Saccharomyces cerevisiae S288C: one gene and its partner. Changing the gene in region 2 together with the main gene of any one other region gives a genetic interaction. Each region holds a gene or a part of one and is shown on either strand. Other genes may lie near its edges.

Region 1 (9,366 bases), on a different chromosome or scaffold from region 2:
TGGGCAGTCTTGCCAGTGCCAGGCGGACCCGTGATGTACAGTGAATCGGACCTGTGTTCAGAAATTGCCTTCGCCAAAAAATTCATAACTTGTTCGTACTCTGCTGTTCTTGCTGGCAATGCACCATCGCTGCTATTCAAGTTGACTAGCTCAGATGACTTCTGCAAAAGTGCCTTTGTCCTCAAAAAAATAGACTGTGAGCCAAACTGCAGTTTTTCTGGGGATGATTCTGGTGTAACATCTGTGAACTGCAACTTTTTTCTTTTCAAAGGTCGTGGAGGCGTTGCTGGAGCATCGTCAAATAGATTTCTTCTGATACGCTTAGTTGGAGTTATTGGTATAGCTGACATGAACGTATATGGTACTATTGATGAAAATAGTGCAGCGCAGTGTTCTGAATATTCCAAAATTGTTCTTCCAGAGAATATACCTCTACTATATAAATGAAAAAATAGACTAACTAATACTATTTTTCAAGATGGCGTTATATCTTTTCTGCCAGCCAACTCAATTTCCTAAGTGGGTAATTTCCTGATCTGGAAACTCCGACGCGTGAGGCCTCGCGTCGCTTTCTTCTTTGGGTAATTCAGGGAAAACAAAGGAATGCAGACTAGCAACTAGTTTCAAAACACAACAAATCGCAAGCCAGACATATTTTGTTGAAACTACAGATATTTCTGCTGCTTTTATTACCTTGCACTTACGTGACGTGACGAAATATTAGTTCTAAACTCAGGGTCTTGGCTTACCCGCGTCGGCTTTACGGATTAGTAAACCGAAGGACATAAGGGAAAGAAAGGAAGCCAGAAAAAGAGGTAGAAGTATATAAGACTAACTGATATGAATATTAAGGTAGGATACCTTATCAATTTTAAGGAACTTGAGAGCTAAATTTGCAAGCAAGTATGGTAAGTGATTGGAAAAATTTTTGCCTCGAGAAAGCCTCTAGGTTTCGCCCAACAATAGATAGGCCTTTTTTTAATATTTATTTGTGGGACTATTTCAATCGTGCGGTTGGGTGGGCCACTGCAGGTCGCTTCCAGCCAAAGGATTTTGAGTTTACCGTTGGGAAGCAGCCTTTGAGTGAACCTCGTCCGGTACTGCTTTTTATTGCCATGTATTATGTGGTTATATTTGGCGGGAGGTCCCTGGTAAAGTCATGTAAACCTCTCAAGTTGAGATTTATTTCTCAAGTCCATAACTTGATGTTGACTTCTGTTTCCTTTTTATGGTTGATTTTGATGGTGGAACAGATGCTACCCATAGTGTATCGCCATGGGCTGTATTTTGCTGTTTGTAATGTTGAATCGTGGACGCAACCGATGGAGACATTATATTATCTCAACTATATGACAAAGTTTGTGGAGTTCGCAGACACTGTCTTGATGGTGTTGAAACATAGAAAGTTGACTTTCCTACATACATACCATCATGGTGCTACAGCTTTACTGTGCTATAATCAATTGGTTGGTTACACAGCAGTTACATGGGTTCCTGTCACCTTAAACTTAGCTGTTCACGTTCTTATGTATTGGTATTATTTCCTTTCTGCTAGCGGAATTCGTGTTTGGTGGAAAGCCTGGGTTACAAGACTACAAATTGTGCAGTTCATGCTTGATCTCATTGTCGTTTATTACGTGCTTTATCAGAAGATTGTTGCTGCATATTTCAAAAATGCTTGTACTCCACAGTGTGAGGATTGCTTAGGTTCAATGACGGCTATTGCTGCTGGTGCAGCCATTCTTACATCCTACTTGTTTTTGTTCATCTCTTTCTATATTGAGGTTTACAAACGTGGAAGTGCTAGTGGTAAGAAGAAGATCAACAAAAACAATTAACCAGTCCTTCTGTTTTGTTTTTTTCTGTTTTTCTTCCTATCTTGTATTTGACTTATATATAGACTGTTTTATTCGAAATAATCATTTTGCTTCGTTTATGTAATTTTTGTATTCATAAGCCAGTATTTTCTCTTCTTTTTTATTTTTTTTTTGGAATGTCGCGCCCAGGACAAAAACATATAATTTATTAGCCTAGGCAGTAAATAGTAGGCGAAAAAGATTGAAAAGTATTATACATGTGGAAATTTATTAATTTTATCTATCATATAAACTCATGTCATTATTCTGGCGATTCTAGTGTCACACCATTTTTTAAATTCAAATCAGCGACTTCGTTTTCTGGGCATCCCTCAGATATTTCAGACGTACTCGATGAACCCAAGCCTGAATTATTCTTGTAGACTTTTTTCAACAATCTTAACTTTCTCCTACCTGAATTTGTCCTCTCACCATCATCATTGTCATCTTCGTCGTTGCAGTCCTGAGTTTCAATATGCCCAACCTCCAAACTACGATTACTATATTCAGGGGCCTGCACATCTTCATTACATTCTATCATATCATCAGAAACATCTTCCTCCTCGTCAGTCTTATTAAATTCATACAACTTCATCTGTTCATCGTATATCTTTTTGATACGCTCATCATATCCGTGGCGTGACTTTTGGATTATTTCCTGTAGTTTAGAGCTGCCTAATCCATTGCCATCTTTATGACGGCGAATGTAAAATAGCAAATAAGCCGATCCAGCTATACTATTTTCTGGCGCAGTTTCAGTTACTCGAGAATCATCAAAATAGTACCATTTATTGTCGGCAAAATTCTTTACGTACGCGGTATAGTGCCCACCACCCAAACCACCATAGTGGTTATCTACTGCATACAGGTCATAGATTAAACCTCTGGGATCATCTTTATAGACAACGTACCTCGACAGATCCAAATCTGTAATGGGGAAATTAACCGTGGCATCAATTTTATCGCTAAAAGACCTTTGACTTTCAAACCTTTTAAGGTGAATTAGCAGAATATCTGGTGTATTCCAAAGTTGTATTTGTTTGGTAGCCTGACGATGTTCCTTGCATGTAGGGCAGTACCACGAATCGGTTAATCCTAGTATTTCTGGTTTGGAAAATAATTGGAGACAATCGTCCAAGGTTATGGTTCTTTCCTTAGCGTTAGATCTTTCCAACTTAGCGTTCTCCAACTCTTTGTTAGGCAAAGTAGCTGGATTTTCCCAGTTATATATTTTATCATCGGAAAATGCCTCATTTGAACCCAATTCGCTCCACTCACAAACAATAATATCATTCATAGAAAGAATCGCAAACGGAGTGGAAGTCAAGCTATCCTTAATTTTATCTAACGCCTCTGGCTTATCTGTTAATTCTGGCTCTGTACTTGCATCTTCTTCAACATCATCTGTTAGTTCCATATCTTCATCCCGATCATTAGTATTATTTACATTTTCATTATTTGTTACAGTTTCTTTATTTTCTTCATCATCTCCCGATTGGAAGGGCTTGGAAAAATTCTTTGCTTCACTACCCTCGGTATCTCCCTCATCATCCACTTGCATAAGGACCCCTTCAGCACAATCTACTAAGGATGAATAATTGTAGATATCCTTCACCACATCTTCAAGTTTATCGTCTATATCTGTAGCTTTGTCAAGGTTTAACTGGGAGATAGGGGTCCAGAAATTAGGCCCTGTTCGGTTATTACTAGCAAATTGCTGCTCTTTTTCTACAGACAGAATCTTGATGGAAAAAAAGGATTTATCCTTGTCAGTCACCTTAATAGACGTATACTGTAGTATATCTTTATATTGTTCAAATTCAACATCTGGATATTTTTCTACTAATAATGGAAAAGCATCAGCAAAATCGGTTCGATTTCCTACAGGTTCAGGAAATGGGATATACCCACCACTTAAATGGACAAACCTGTTTTGCAATTTCATTCTTATTGCACCTGGATTATTCAATTCATCTTCTTTTAACGTAATAAAGAAAGGGACTCCAAATAACATTGCATTTTTGTAGCCTTTTTCAATTCTAGTATTCAATACGGGAACAATTACTTCATTGTCATTTGTTACTGGTAATTCATAAAAAATAACGTCATCAGCAGGTTTGATCAATTCCTGCAAGGTTAAAAATTGAGCATTCGACTCTGTTGACTCATAGTTAACATAGATTTGATTACTGAAAATCTCACAGCCAAATAGTGTATTTGGATCTAGGCCCGACATTTTACCAACATAATTCTTCAAGTCCATATAAGTGGACGATTTGCTTAACTCAACTTCAAGAAGAAGTGGTGGAGAGTTCATGGGAAAAATTTTTATAGTTTTATCCCACACTGTATCAACCGGAAGCGGCAATGTAACATCATTATACGGGTCAAACGTTATAGAAACATTTTGACATTCGGGACAATATAGCGTTGATTTGTACATCCCGACAAATAAATCCGTTATAACGGAACAATTTCTCTTTAAATGCATCTCCCAAGTATCGTCTGCCAGTTTCTTGACTACATTCCAATCATTCACGTCATCACCAGGAGATAATGATGGTTTTTCTGTGTATTCTTTCTTTATTATCCTGTTCAAATCTTCATGTAAACTGTCTAACAGGAAGGCTAAAAATTCTTGAGAATCCTGTTGCATATAACCAGAAAACATCGAATTAAAGTGCCCGATAGTGGATTTGAACATTGAAGGGGGGAAAGCAGCATTTCTTTGCATTATGCTCATCCTGTTTTGAAACAACTTCTGAACCAAGTCACTAAATGCCCTAGCCACATAGCCGTGGTACCCAAGAGGATTTTCTTCATTGATTTCGTCTTCATAACCATCATAAAGGAAATAATCACGCAACTGCGGAATGTGTACCAGGCATTGCAACGCAGAATTCATGTAACATGTATTTCCCAAATTGACCAAACCAGTAGTACCTGATGCTGGTTCGAGTTTATTATAAGCAAAATAGTTTGAAGGCCAATGGTGATTCCCTTCTATAGGTTTAATTTCTATGACAAGGTCACTCGGATTTGAAGTTATCTTGTCTAAACGGTTTTCAAACATGTCTGGTATTAGTAGTTTCTTTATCGGTAGTTCGAGAAATTGAAGCGGAGTTATTTCATATGAAGAATTCAAAAAAGTACTAACATTGCTATCTGTGGCAATATCAGATCCCTCTGACACAAACCAAATTTTAAAATCCACCGCATTCACGTCTAGATGATCAGCTTTCTCAAAAAACAGATTCATACTCTTTTCAACCAAATCACGTACTAAATTCAACGCAGACATCGAGAGGTACATTATTGAATCGTCCTGGCCATGCCTCCTTTTCCTCCCGTCTTGTTTTTCGGTCAGGTAATGTAGTCTGAAAAACCATTTATTGTATTCTGTCTCTAACTCCCCTGTGGTTTGGTTGATAACCAAATTAGTTACCACTGGGTAAGAGCCACTTGTCATGCCGTAAATTTCTGATAGAAAATTGAAAACAGGCTCTGCAATAGACAGATACGGACATCTATTGTAATCCTCAAGCACAAAATTTTCAAAGTCTCTGCAAATCATGCGTGTATTAATAGGGCCTATATCTTCAGGATCGGTAACATCGGGGTCGAAAAATTTATCGTACCAAACCTTGGGGACAATACAGACTTTATCACCCTCTTTTTGCGTTTCCTTGTTTTCTTCTATTAGTCTAGCAACCACGTCTCTTTGTTGTTCTAAGACATTTCTTCCATCTTGACCATTAGTTCCAAGATTAGTTTCACTTGCAGCGTGTGGCTCAGCTATTAACTCATTAGCGCTAGCAAATGAAGAAACAGCGGAAGCATCGGATTCCGTATCCTCAATTTCACGATCTGAGACTGGGACAGACTCTTGCTTTATTTCATCCTTGTCATCTAGAACATTCATCAAGTCCACTCCCAACCGATCACATGGTGTTGTGCCATCGGTGAAATCGGGATCTTCATTATAAACCAATGAACATTCACGACTTGAAACATCTGAAGAACCCATTTTCGAATGAAGAAACCTTCGATTGAAACAACAACGTTCTGCAGGATTTTCCTCCCTTTATTTTTCCAGTAATCCCATCTTTTATCTTCATGCACTTCTTCAATACGTAATAATATTTTTCCACGAACCGACCAAATTTCAAGGAAAGTGGAAAAATTTTTAATCTTTTAGCTTATAAGAATAACGAAATATACCTGATTATAACAGGGAAGCGTACCTTTTTTTCGAACATTAGACTACACAACAGAAGTGTTGGATTAATCGAATACATATAGATTATATATACGCTGTTACATGCTATCGTAGACGTATCTCTTACGCAGAGGTTGCGTTACCCTTGACAACAGATGCCATGATACCATAACCTAGAGTAATGACACATAGGAAAGCCAAAATAGAAGCTGGAACACCTCTCGTTAAGAAAGTCATGACACTTAAATAGCGATCGCCCTTTCTATCTACTTTAGAGATGGCAGTGACATTGGGGAACCCCGAAGAAGCTAGTCCCATACCACAGGATGACAATAATGCACAACCGAAAACAAGGATAGGAGCAGCTTTGGGGTTGCCAAGCTTGTCACCAACTTCTTGCACCAAGGGAATGATGATAATAGCGGATACTGTATGCGAGACGAAAGTACCCACAACCAACATCAGGATACCGAAAATACATAGAATGGCAAAAACACCATCATTCTCAATTTTCTTTTGTAATGCTTTTGCAATGGTTGATAGCAAACCCGAGGATGAGACGGCCTTCCCCAAAGCAATACCTCCCATTGCCAAAATAACGATTGACCACGGAAAGGCATTTAAATCTTGTGTTGATAGTAATCCGGTACCAAAAAACAAAACGATGGGAATGATTGCAATTTGACCTGATGACCCAAAAGCACCTTCAATCTGGCTTTCCACACACCACAACAAAATAGTGGCCACAGTGACAGTAATGATATAATACTGCTTAACTGTGAATTTCGTCTTAATAGGCTTAAATTTTTCCAATTTGGTCTTATTCATCTTGAAAGTAGTGAACAATAAAATCCAAACCAAAAGCATGGCCAGGATACCAGATGGCAATGCAACAGCAAAGAATTGGCCCCAGCCAATACCATAGGGTTTCAAGTACGACATGGAAATGATGTTTTGAGGTGAAGAGATTGGTGAAGACATACCACCGATATTTGCAGCCAACGCTACACCTAACACCAATGCTTGCGCAAATGGGCTATCTGCATCCATGGCATCCAATAGGGGAGATAACAACGAATATGTTAGAACAGGTGCTGCGACATTGGAAATCCACATTGATAGGAAGAACACGACACACATTGCCATTAAAAGAACGTTTCTGGGTTTACAACCAGCGAAGGCCAACAACCACGAGGCAAGAACTTTGGCGATGTTATATTGTGCAAGTACTTCACCCAAAGTAAAACCTGCCAGCAGAATCATAATTGTAGAAGACCACATGGCGGCCAAAATTTCTGATGAAGCGCTTGCAGCACTCATTATAGCCCCGTCGGAGGTTTTTAGGACTTTGAAAAGGACTACAAGTAGTGGTACAAGGAATGCTGTAATGTGTAATGGGATGGCCTCACTAGCCCACAAAAAGGCGACACACTCGACAAGGGCCATGCAGCGGTGCTGAGCAGCGTCGTTGAAGGTCTTTATTCCTAACAAGAGTCCAGTGACTAGAATAATAAAGTAAATCTTGTATGCTTTCTTGGTGAAAAATAATTTCGGTAGTGCAACGTTGTTTATACTAGTGAATTTTAAGTTTATCGGTCTGGGTAGTGGCCATCTGTAGTATTCCAAATCTAACTTGCCTACCAGCTTATTTGCATTATATTCTGTTTCCTTTGGTGTCAACTCGTCAGCTTGCGATAGCAGTCCCAACATGTCTTTCCAAGTGTTACTTCTTTCCCAAACAATGTGGTCATGCAGGTAGGATTTCAACTCTTGCTTGCTATGCGAGATATTATGAGGCCGGTCAGTGATGCGCGCATAAAATGTGACTAGCTGGGAAATTTTGGAATTTAGCAATTCGATCGTTTCTGCCTGGAATGCATATGTGTCTTTGAAAAACTGCTCCGATTCGATCAGTTCGGTTCTTGTATTCAAGTGAAGAACTTTGTCTGATTTCTTTGTAATTTTTGCAAACCCAATGCGGTTCAATTCGATGAACGACTTCAACTGGCAAAGATCGATATATAGGTTTACGATCGACTTCTTCAACAGCGATTTTTTCTGAGACTTAATGTTATACTGCGAATGATGCAGCAAAGCAGTATTATCTTCAATATTAGATTGATCATCGTAAAATTCGTCGTCGTCTTCGTCATCATCCAAGTCTAGTGGGGGAACTTCGTCATTTGTGCTGGCAATCGGTTCGTTAAACAGAGTATCATCGTCGATATCGTATTCTATAACTCCGATTTTCTTCAGGTCCTTCACCAGCGCGTCAAATTTGTCGTAGAACTTCGCTTCTGTCCTCTTATAAAAATCATCTACTTTCTGTTTTTCAGCTGTTAAATCACCAACAAACGTATCATAAGTGTCTAATTGCAGATTTTCGTTGGCCGTGGAGGAGACGGACGATGCGGAAGACGACCTTCTTTTGTAAAATATCTTTTCCTTCATTCTTCTGAAAGGAGAAGGTTTGGCAGCGACCGTCTGAGCAGTAGGCAACTCTCGCAACTCGATGGTTTCCTCAACGATGCCTGCATCTTTGTTCATACCGGAAGACGTATCTTCCTTCGCATTTTTAAAAGAAAACTTGTTTTTGAACCTATCTGTAATGTTAGAGCTCTTTCCTGCGCCAAATCCTTCTTCGTTATCACCAACCTGAAGTTCATCTGTTTGTAGCGTGTAAATAAGATTTTTCAGCTCGCTGTAGTCCATATAATGGTTTTGCCATTCTGGGACAGCATTGTACTTCAAGAAGTGTGAAAATCTCATGATCCTGTACCAGCTACCACTTACTCGTTTATCCTAAAAACAACTTTATTGGCCGGATGACATCGAAGTGAACAGTGTTCTTTATATCGATGAATCAAAATTTTTCAGTGAGCCATTCATTCTTCGAGAAGCAGCGCAAAAAAAAACAAAAAAAAAAAAAACGGCTGTAGCTGCGGCGATATTGTGAGCGCCCCGCTTTAGGGCGACTTTACCCATAGTAAAAAGGGAAGACAATAACGAAATAAGAAGAGAAGAGAACCGTGGTTTCTCTGTTGCTTAGGATCATATACGCCTACAGCAAGGCACCTCTTTATGCGTATGCAGTCATACAAGGAGTGTGGAAATGCAGCACAGATGGCCTTCGCTGCTTGCCAGGCTGCCATTTTTCTTGGCTGCTGCCGCTACTACTGATTTTCTTACCTCTGCTAGAAACCAGTGGAAATGATTTATTCACAATCTAGCACCATGCAACATACATCCAAATCAGTGGAAATACGACATTATTAGCCGGCCCTTTACGTG
Region 2 (7,503 bases):
AAATTTTGTTCATCAGTCAGTCTTGGTGGATACGACATTGGGTCAACGATACCAATGTACGAATAAATGCTCCAGGTTTTGCGATGGACACGCTGCCATTAAAAGGGATGACCGACTCTTCGAAAAATAAACATAATGCATTTTATTACTTAACCGTATATTTTCTTATTGGTATCATTCAGGCAATGCTAGGTGGTTTTAAAACAATGATGACGTTTTTATCCGGTATGCGAGCCTCCAGAAAGATCTTTAATAATCTGCTAGATCTAGTTCTACATGCCCAAATACGATTTTTCGACGTGACGCCGGTTGGTAGAATCATGAATCGCTTTTCAAAGGACATCGAAGGTGTTGATCAAGAATTGATTCCATACTTAGAAGTAACTATATTTTGCCTAATTCAATGCGCATCAATTATATTTCTCATTACCGTAATAACTCCTCGCTTTTTGACAGTCGCCGTTATCGTTTTTGTTTTATATTTCTTTGTGGGGAAATGGTACTTAACGGCAAGTAGAGAATTGAAAAGGTTAGATTCAATAACCAAATCACCCATTTTTCAACATTTCTCAGAGACCTTGGTAGGCGTTTGCACAATTCGTGCATTTGGCGACGAGAGGAGATTCATTTTAGAAAATATGAACAAAATTGACCAAAATAACAGAGCATTCTTTTATTTATCAGTTACTGTCAAATGGTTTTCTTTTAGAGTCGACATGATTGGCGCATTCATTGTTTTAGCATCAGGTTCTTTTATTCTGCTCAATATTGCAAATATTGACTCGGGTCTTGCCGGCATTTCTTTGACATATGCCATTTTGTTTACAGATGGTGCTTTATGGTTAGTTAGACTGTACTCAACATTTGAAATGAACATGAACTCTGTTGAAAGACTAAAAGAATATTCTAGCATTGAACAAGAGAACTATCTTGGCCATGATGAAGGCCGCATTCTACTTCTAAACGAACCATCGTGGCCAAAAGATGGAGAAATTGAAATTGAAAACTTATCTTTACGTTACGCGCCAAATTTGCCTCCTGTCATAAGAAATGTTAGTTTCAAAGTGGATCCTCAAAGTAAGATTGGGATTGTCGGAAGAACTGGCGCAGGCAAATCTACCATAATAACGGCATTATTCAGATTACTAGAACCAATAACCGGATGTATCAAAATAGATGGGCAGGATATAAGTAAAATTGATCTCGTTACATTACGTCGTTCCATTACTATCATCCCTCAGGACCCTATTCTATTTGCAGGTACAATCAAAAGTAATGTTGATCCATATGATGAATATGATGAAAAAAAAATATTCAAAGCACTTTCACAAGTAAATCTAATTTCTTCACATGAATTTGAAGAAGTGCTTAACTCGGAGGAACGCTTTAACAGCACTCATAATAAATTTTTAAATCTTCACACAGAAATAGCTGAGGGCGGCTTAAATCTGTCCCAAGGTGAAAGGCAATTGCTTTTTATTGCACGATCATTGTTACGCGAGCCAAAGATAATACTTTTGGACGAGGCTACTTCCTCTATTGATTACGATTCTGACCATTTAATTCAGGGTATTATAAGAAGTGAGTTTAATAAAAGCACAATTCTTACTATTGCACATCGTTTGAGATCTGTTATCGATTACGACAGGATAATTGTGATGGATGCCGGTGAGGTAAAAGAATATGATCGCCCTAGTGAACTGTTGAAAGATGAACGCGGTATATTTTATAGTATGTGTCGTGACAGTGGGGGCCTAGAGCTTTTGAAGCAAATAGCCAAGCAATCAAGTAAGATGATGAAATAATCGAATGTTTCTTTCTTTTATTCAAAGATGAGGATGAATATTATTTATTAAAAATGCAATAGTAGTCTATAAAATATTTATGTAGAAAAGGAAAAACTAACACAGACATGGCTTTTTCACCCATTCTGTGACAATGAGCCCATCATGCAAATAAGTGATTTTGGGTAAAAGTTTATAATGGAAGAATTTAGGTAGTAAAACGAATTTAACTAACCAGAAAAAGAAGCATGCAACTATTACCAGTAATGACATGATTTGGTAGGGCGGCAGGAACCCAACTCTGTTTAGGCTAGGGTCGGCAAAGAATGGTGCCATCAACATGTATAATGATAATGTAATAATGGCTAATACTCCAAAAGTAGATGCACGAATCTCTGGGACTTCGTTCTTGTGTTTGAACCTCCAAATAAAGAGCCCAATAGCGACCAATAATAAGAAAAACTGATTACCATAACCATCCATCGATACCAGATAATTGAAGGATTCGCCCTCTTTGGGTAAAATCAATATCCAAGCAATGGTTATAAAGCCACATAAAGAAATAGATGGTAGAGGTGCATCAAATGGCCAATTTTTGGACATATGAATACTGAATGGTAAATAACCTTCTTTGAATATTTCCTGGTTAACTCTTGATATACTGTAAATGACAACCAGAATATTAGATGCTGCAGAAATGGCGATAGAAAAAGCAATGAATTTGCCACCAACTCTGGGTCCGAAAAGTTTGGTAAACAACACGGAACCAACCAGGGGGCCTGCACTAACAATTTCCTCATATGTCAAAACTTTCAAGTATGCCACATTCATCATTGTGTAGCAGACAAAACAAATTATCAACGATAAGGGACCTGACACCTTCAACGTCTTAACGGGATTCTTAATTTCTGATGTAACTGTGTGAACTGTATCCCATCCAGAAAAACAAAAGAATGAGCTGATAAAGGCAGTAGCAATAGAGGACACCGACAGGAGAGAATCTTTCTCAACTTGGGTTACTGGGAGGTCCCAGGCAACTTGACCGGTGCTTTTATAAAAGAAAAGCGTGTATAGCCCGGCAAAGCACATCAAGACAATCATGATCAACTTCAAACCACCAAGTGCGTTCTGTATAAACACTCCGTGCCTTACAGAGACACCGTGAATGAGAACGGCAAATATTATAAATGATATGCTGACGTACTTGGACCACGAATCATCCGTGACTCCAAATGCGCTCAACACGTATTTACCGAAGACGATAGATCCCGTCAATGCATAGCCAGTTAAAACACTGTAACACGAAAACACCACACTAATTAATAGTCTGGGTCTTTCAAAACTCCGTTCGAGGAAGTTTTTACGTCCACCTGATTTCGGTATCCAGGAACCAAATTCTAGAAAAAGATACAATCCTGCAAAAGCGATCGCAGCGCTAAAAACCCAGATCGCAAAATATATCAGCTTATTACCACCTGTATTCAGTAAAATCACACTGGGTACTGCAAATATACCTGACCCCATTATCCTCGAAACAAATAACACAACCGTGGAGAACACACCTAAATGTCTTCCCTGTGGAACTTCCATGAATCTTGCCGTCTCTGCCTTTATCGCCTGCGCTTCCACAGTATCCATCGAACTGAATGATCCAGTATTTGTGGAACCATATTTTGTGGTAATATCACCAACTTCCACATCTATGAAAACATCTTGAGAGGGATTTGCTTTCCCACTATTAAAAAGCAGCGGTTCCATTTTTACTTATTTTGAGCACTGTACGTCTACGTTGCCCTCAGCAACTTAGACTACAAACAGAATGTACAGATCATCGATAAGCATCCAGGTCTTTATATGTGTATTGTTTTTGCCCCTTGACTCAGGCAGGCCTCTAATCTATATGATTGATTTGTCATATATATGCAGCGACGCCACAGTTTTTTCCGGCAAGAGTCGCGTGATCTTTTTTTCTAATCCAATCTGTGAACATACTAGAGGAAACTTCTACCTTTTCTACCTGAATTACATTATCAACACTTTTGCACCAAAAAATCGTGGTACTAGGAGATGCAAACCTTTTGGTCTCCACATCAATTGCAGGAAAAAGATTGACTGTTTGCATGTGCAATTATCTTATATATTATGTAAAAATAAAAGTAGGAAACGCCACATGGATGCGCATGCCATAACCCTTGCATGGTTAGCACACGCCCTCACGTGAGTGAATTTGCCAAAATGATAGTCAAATGTGTTGATAGTTCGATAAGAGGTGAAGTTGGGGAACTAAAGGTGGAATAGAAAATGATAAAACAAAGGAAAGAGTGAAGATTGCCGCCGAGTAGAATCCAAGATTGGTGTGTATGGGTGTATTTAGTGAAAGTTCAATTGCATTGAAGATGACAAATTATGCTTAAGTGAATGGACAATGAAGGCTTCTCTTGAAGGAGTAAGGCTGCGCTGAAGGAAAGGTTTGAGACAGAGTGACCAAAATGGTGAATTGGCAAACATTGTTCATGGTCTCATTGAGGAGACAGGGCAGTTCCTCTCGTTACAGGTATAAGTTCAACATGGAGAATATCACACATCAGGTGTTCCCTCGCTGTAAGCAAGCGTTTAAGAAGACAAACTTATCTTATGAATATTGTGATCTTGAAGGAGTACTGTATAATATTTCACTCACGGACTTGCAAAAACTGCTATTACGTGATATAAACGCCCCTCGCGAACACGCATTCAAGATTGTTAGAACAGATCTAACTCAAAAATCCTCGAAGAAGAGGATCCAACACTGGGAACGGATTGCGCCTATGTTTGACCACCCCTTAAGTCTCTACGAGAAGTTGTTCAGCGAAATGGATGAGGACTTCAAGCCATCTTTCGAGTGGCAACAATTAATAAGGGTACGATGCAAAGATGATAAGTTGAAACTGCAGCGTGTAATTTGGCCTAAGTCGATATTTTCAAACTTTTGTCGGGGAATCGGGGTTAAGAAGAGCACTTACGATAGACTCTTGGAACAAAATAATGGTGAGGTACCCATGTTTGTAAACCCAGCTAATGCAAAGCCCTTGCCTCTTTTCCAGGTTTCCGATGAGGCGATGATTGGGGAATTCGATGGAATTGGTATTTTCCCTTACTTTGTAGATAAACATAGAGAATTTTTCGTTACTGAGGTAGACAAATTGAAGACCAAGATAGCTTCGCCACTTTGCACCTTGAATGAACGAAAGCGCATTGAGAAGGCTAACGCTGGTCGGATACTGGCGAACGAAGAGGGTAAACCATTCTATCTGGATGCAAACAGTGCCACAACTCGAATCGCTGGTGGTAATGTCGTCACTTTGAAGCAACTTTTAGAAAGATCGGTTAGCCATAAGACATTGTGGAGCAAACAATCAAACAAAGACAGAACGTGCCCTGGAGACATTTTAAGAGCTACAATATTATCAAACGACTTCTCCATCCGGCAATTGAGGGCTGAATTTTGCAAAAATTTCATTCTCTACAATATATTCACCATTTTACAACGTAACAAGAAAAGCATCCGTTCCTTCTCTGGTAACGATAATGCGCCTTCCTTTCAATTTAGTTGGAATGTTTGGGACTCATATATATGGAAGCAATATCAAGAGACCGAGTCCATGAAAATACCCACGGACCAAGCTTCTCTGATCAACTACAAGACAAAATACGACTCTTTTCTTCATGACCTACAAACATATTCCGCACTGGTAATTTCAGAAATGAAATGGAACCAATTCTCTATTTTCCAAAATGATGAAACGACTTTATCAAGATTTGAACACATCACATTAATTTTGCAAACCGTGCTGACAAAATCGAAAATGATTAGAATTTTCCAGCCAAACTTGTACAAGTTTATGCAAGATGATTTAAGACCAACTTTAATGGAGTTGGTGGGTTTCACTGAGTCAATAAATGCAACAATAGAACCTGGTTTTGCGAATGAACAATCGCTACAATCTGCAAACGGATTAAAGAAATTGGCCAACCAACTTTTATACTTCGAACAGGAAATATATGGCGAAAAGTTCCGCGTAAATAGGCCCATCCAGCTTCGTCCAATAACATTATCAGCAAACTACAAAATTGTTATTCTGGATAAGAAGAACGCCATACCCGAAATATTTCAAACCCTACTGAAATTCATGACACAAATAACGACATATTTTGTTAAAGATTTGTCGGAGGTAGAACTTCATGGGCACATGCATTGTATTGATAAAAAAATGCTGGACAAGTCGAAATTCATGTATTTATACGAAGAGAAAAGCAACGAGGAAGTGAAAGCAGCTTCTCCTCAAAAGGAGAAGATAGTAGATAATATCATTGGCCTATTATCAAATGATGAAGAACATTAACATGAATTGGAAAAAGAAAAAATTGCATGTAAATATATACATACGTAGAATTTTATACTTAGGCTACAGATCAAAGCTAAATCTGTAAGTCGTATGCCTTCTTCATTAGAAATATAGGCTCTTTATTTGATTTCCTGATCCAAACCAATCTATCAATCGCAGTATCTGCCACAATGAACTGTCTTATGCCCCAATCACCGACACTATAAATTTCTGGAATTCTCTCCGATAAATTAGGGAAGTATTTTTTATAGAACGGCAAAAACTCCATAACATCTTCTTTTTCAATGACAATTGAATCACTAACTTCTTTGAAGGTTTGTTTAATGAAACCTCCCTGATTATTACTTTTATCGTTGATTAATTTGACTATCCAGAGCAACAATGCGTCATTAAGACAGTCTTTTGTGATCAAATCTTCGTAATTTATAGCACCAAATACCAGTAAGAGAGAATTGGCAAATATTTTGTCGTTTTTAAAAATTGTCTTGAATGACAGAGAAAACTCCTTATTATTGCTATATATTTTTTTTTGTAAAACGGACAATTTCTCAGTAGTGGCGTTCAGAATTTTTTTGTTATCTTGATAGTATAGTTTGATTAGTTTAATAACATGAGGGCGTAATTTTTGAGTCGAAGAAGTTTTAATTTTAAAATTCTTATAAAACAGCAATCTCTGGGATACTACAGATGTTAATTGATCAATACCTTCCAATACGCTCCTTACGGTTGGAGTTTCTTCAGACTTTAATTTACTTAGGTAGGCAAATAACGCTAGTAGAACCGGTGGTAATGGTTCAGAAATTTTTAAACTAAATTGTAAAATGGTAGTTTCTCCATCGTCAGTAACAAAATTACCTGATTTGTTAAAATCCACGGGCAAACCGCTAACTAAGGTGGATGGTAGCTTTAAAGTCAACCTAGAGAAGTCAAACTTATTCGAGGAATCCCAAAACCCGTAGTTTAACAAACATTTTTCATTAGAAATATTACCATAATTATTAAACAATTCATCCTGTGCACTAAATGTGGTAGTCTGCGACATGAAACAAAGTTCATTTTGTTCATTCATCTCCCATCTTACTGGTACATCGTTTTTATGGTTTAATAAATCTACTATTGGATACAAAAATCCTTCGTTCAGATTGGTGCGGTCTGTACCGGCCCTGCCTAAAATGACACGAGGAAATGCCCTAGAATTAAAGATGCAGTACGACCAAAGATACGCCACGAACGAGTTCCATTCCGAATCTTCTAGTTTACATCCATTGATGTGTGCGCAGAACTGTTCCAACGGCACTACGGCAGAGTCTTTATTCTCCTGGAATAAAGACAAG

Evidence for each region. A genetic interaction does not mean that the proteins touch.
Region 1: mutations in MUP3 (region 2) and UBP12 together harm fitness more than expected from each alone (negative genetic interaction), as found in Saccharomyces cerevisiae (one large-scale study listed by BioGRID).

Annotation. Positions count from the first base shown.
Region 1 is NC_001142.9:60,322-69,687, reverse strand, and holds UBP12 (putative ubiquitin-specific protease UBP12), read right to left. Parts: upstream 5,884-9,366; coding exon 2,119-5,883; downstream 1-2,118. Other genes in the region: AAA family ATPase CDC6, read right to left, coding at 1-350; fatty acid elongase ELO1, read left to right, coding at 906-1,838; PHO90 (SPX domain-containing inorganic phosphate transporter), read right to left, coding at 6,199-8,844. UniProt on the Saccharomyces cerevisiae protein: Ubiquitin carboxyl-terminal hydrolase that recognizes ubiquitin chains that stabilize FZO1 and promote mitochondrial fusion. UBP12 deubiquitylates FZO1 only after oligomerization.
Region 2 is NC_001140.6:22,280-29,782, reverse strand, and holds MUP3 (Mup3p), read right to left. Parts: upstream 3,543-7,503; coding exon 1,902-3,542; downstream 1-1,901. Other genes in the region: putative ATP-binding cassette multidrug transporter VMR1, read left to right, coding at 1-1,805; YHL037C (uncharacterized protein), read left to right, coding at 3,604-4,005; CBP2 (Cbp2p), read left to right, coding at 4,274-6,166; EFM1 (protein-lysine N-methyltransferase), read right to left, coding at 6,243-7,503. UniProt on the Saccharomyces cerevisiae protein: Very low affinity permease for methionine.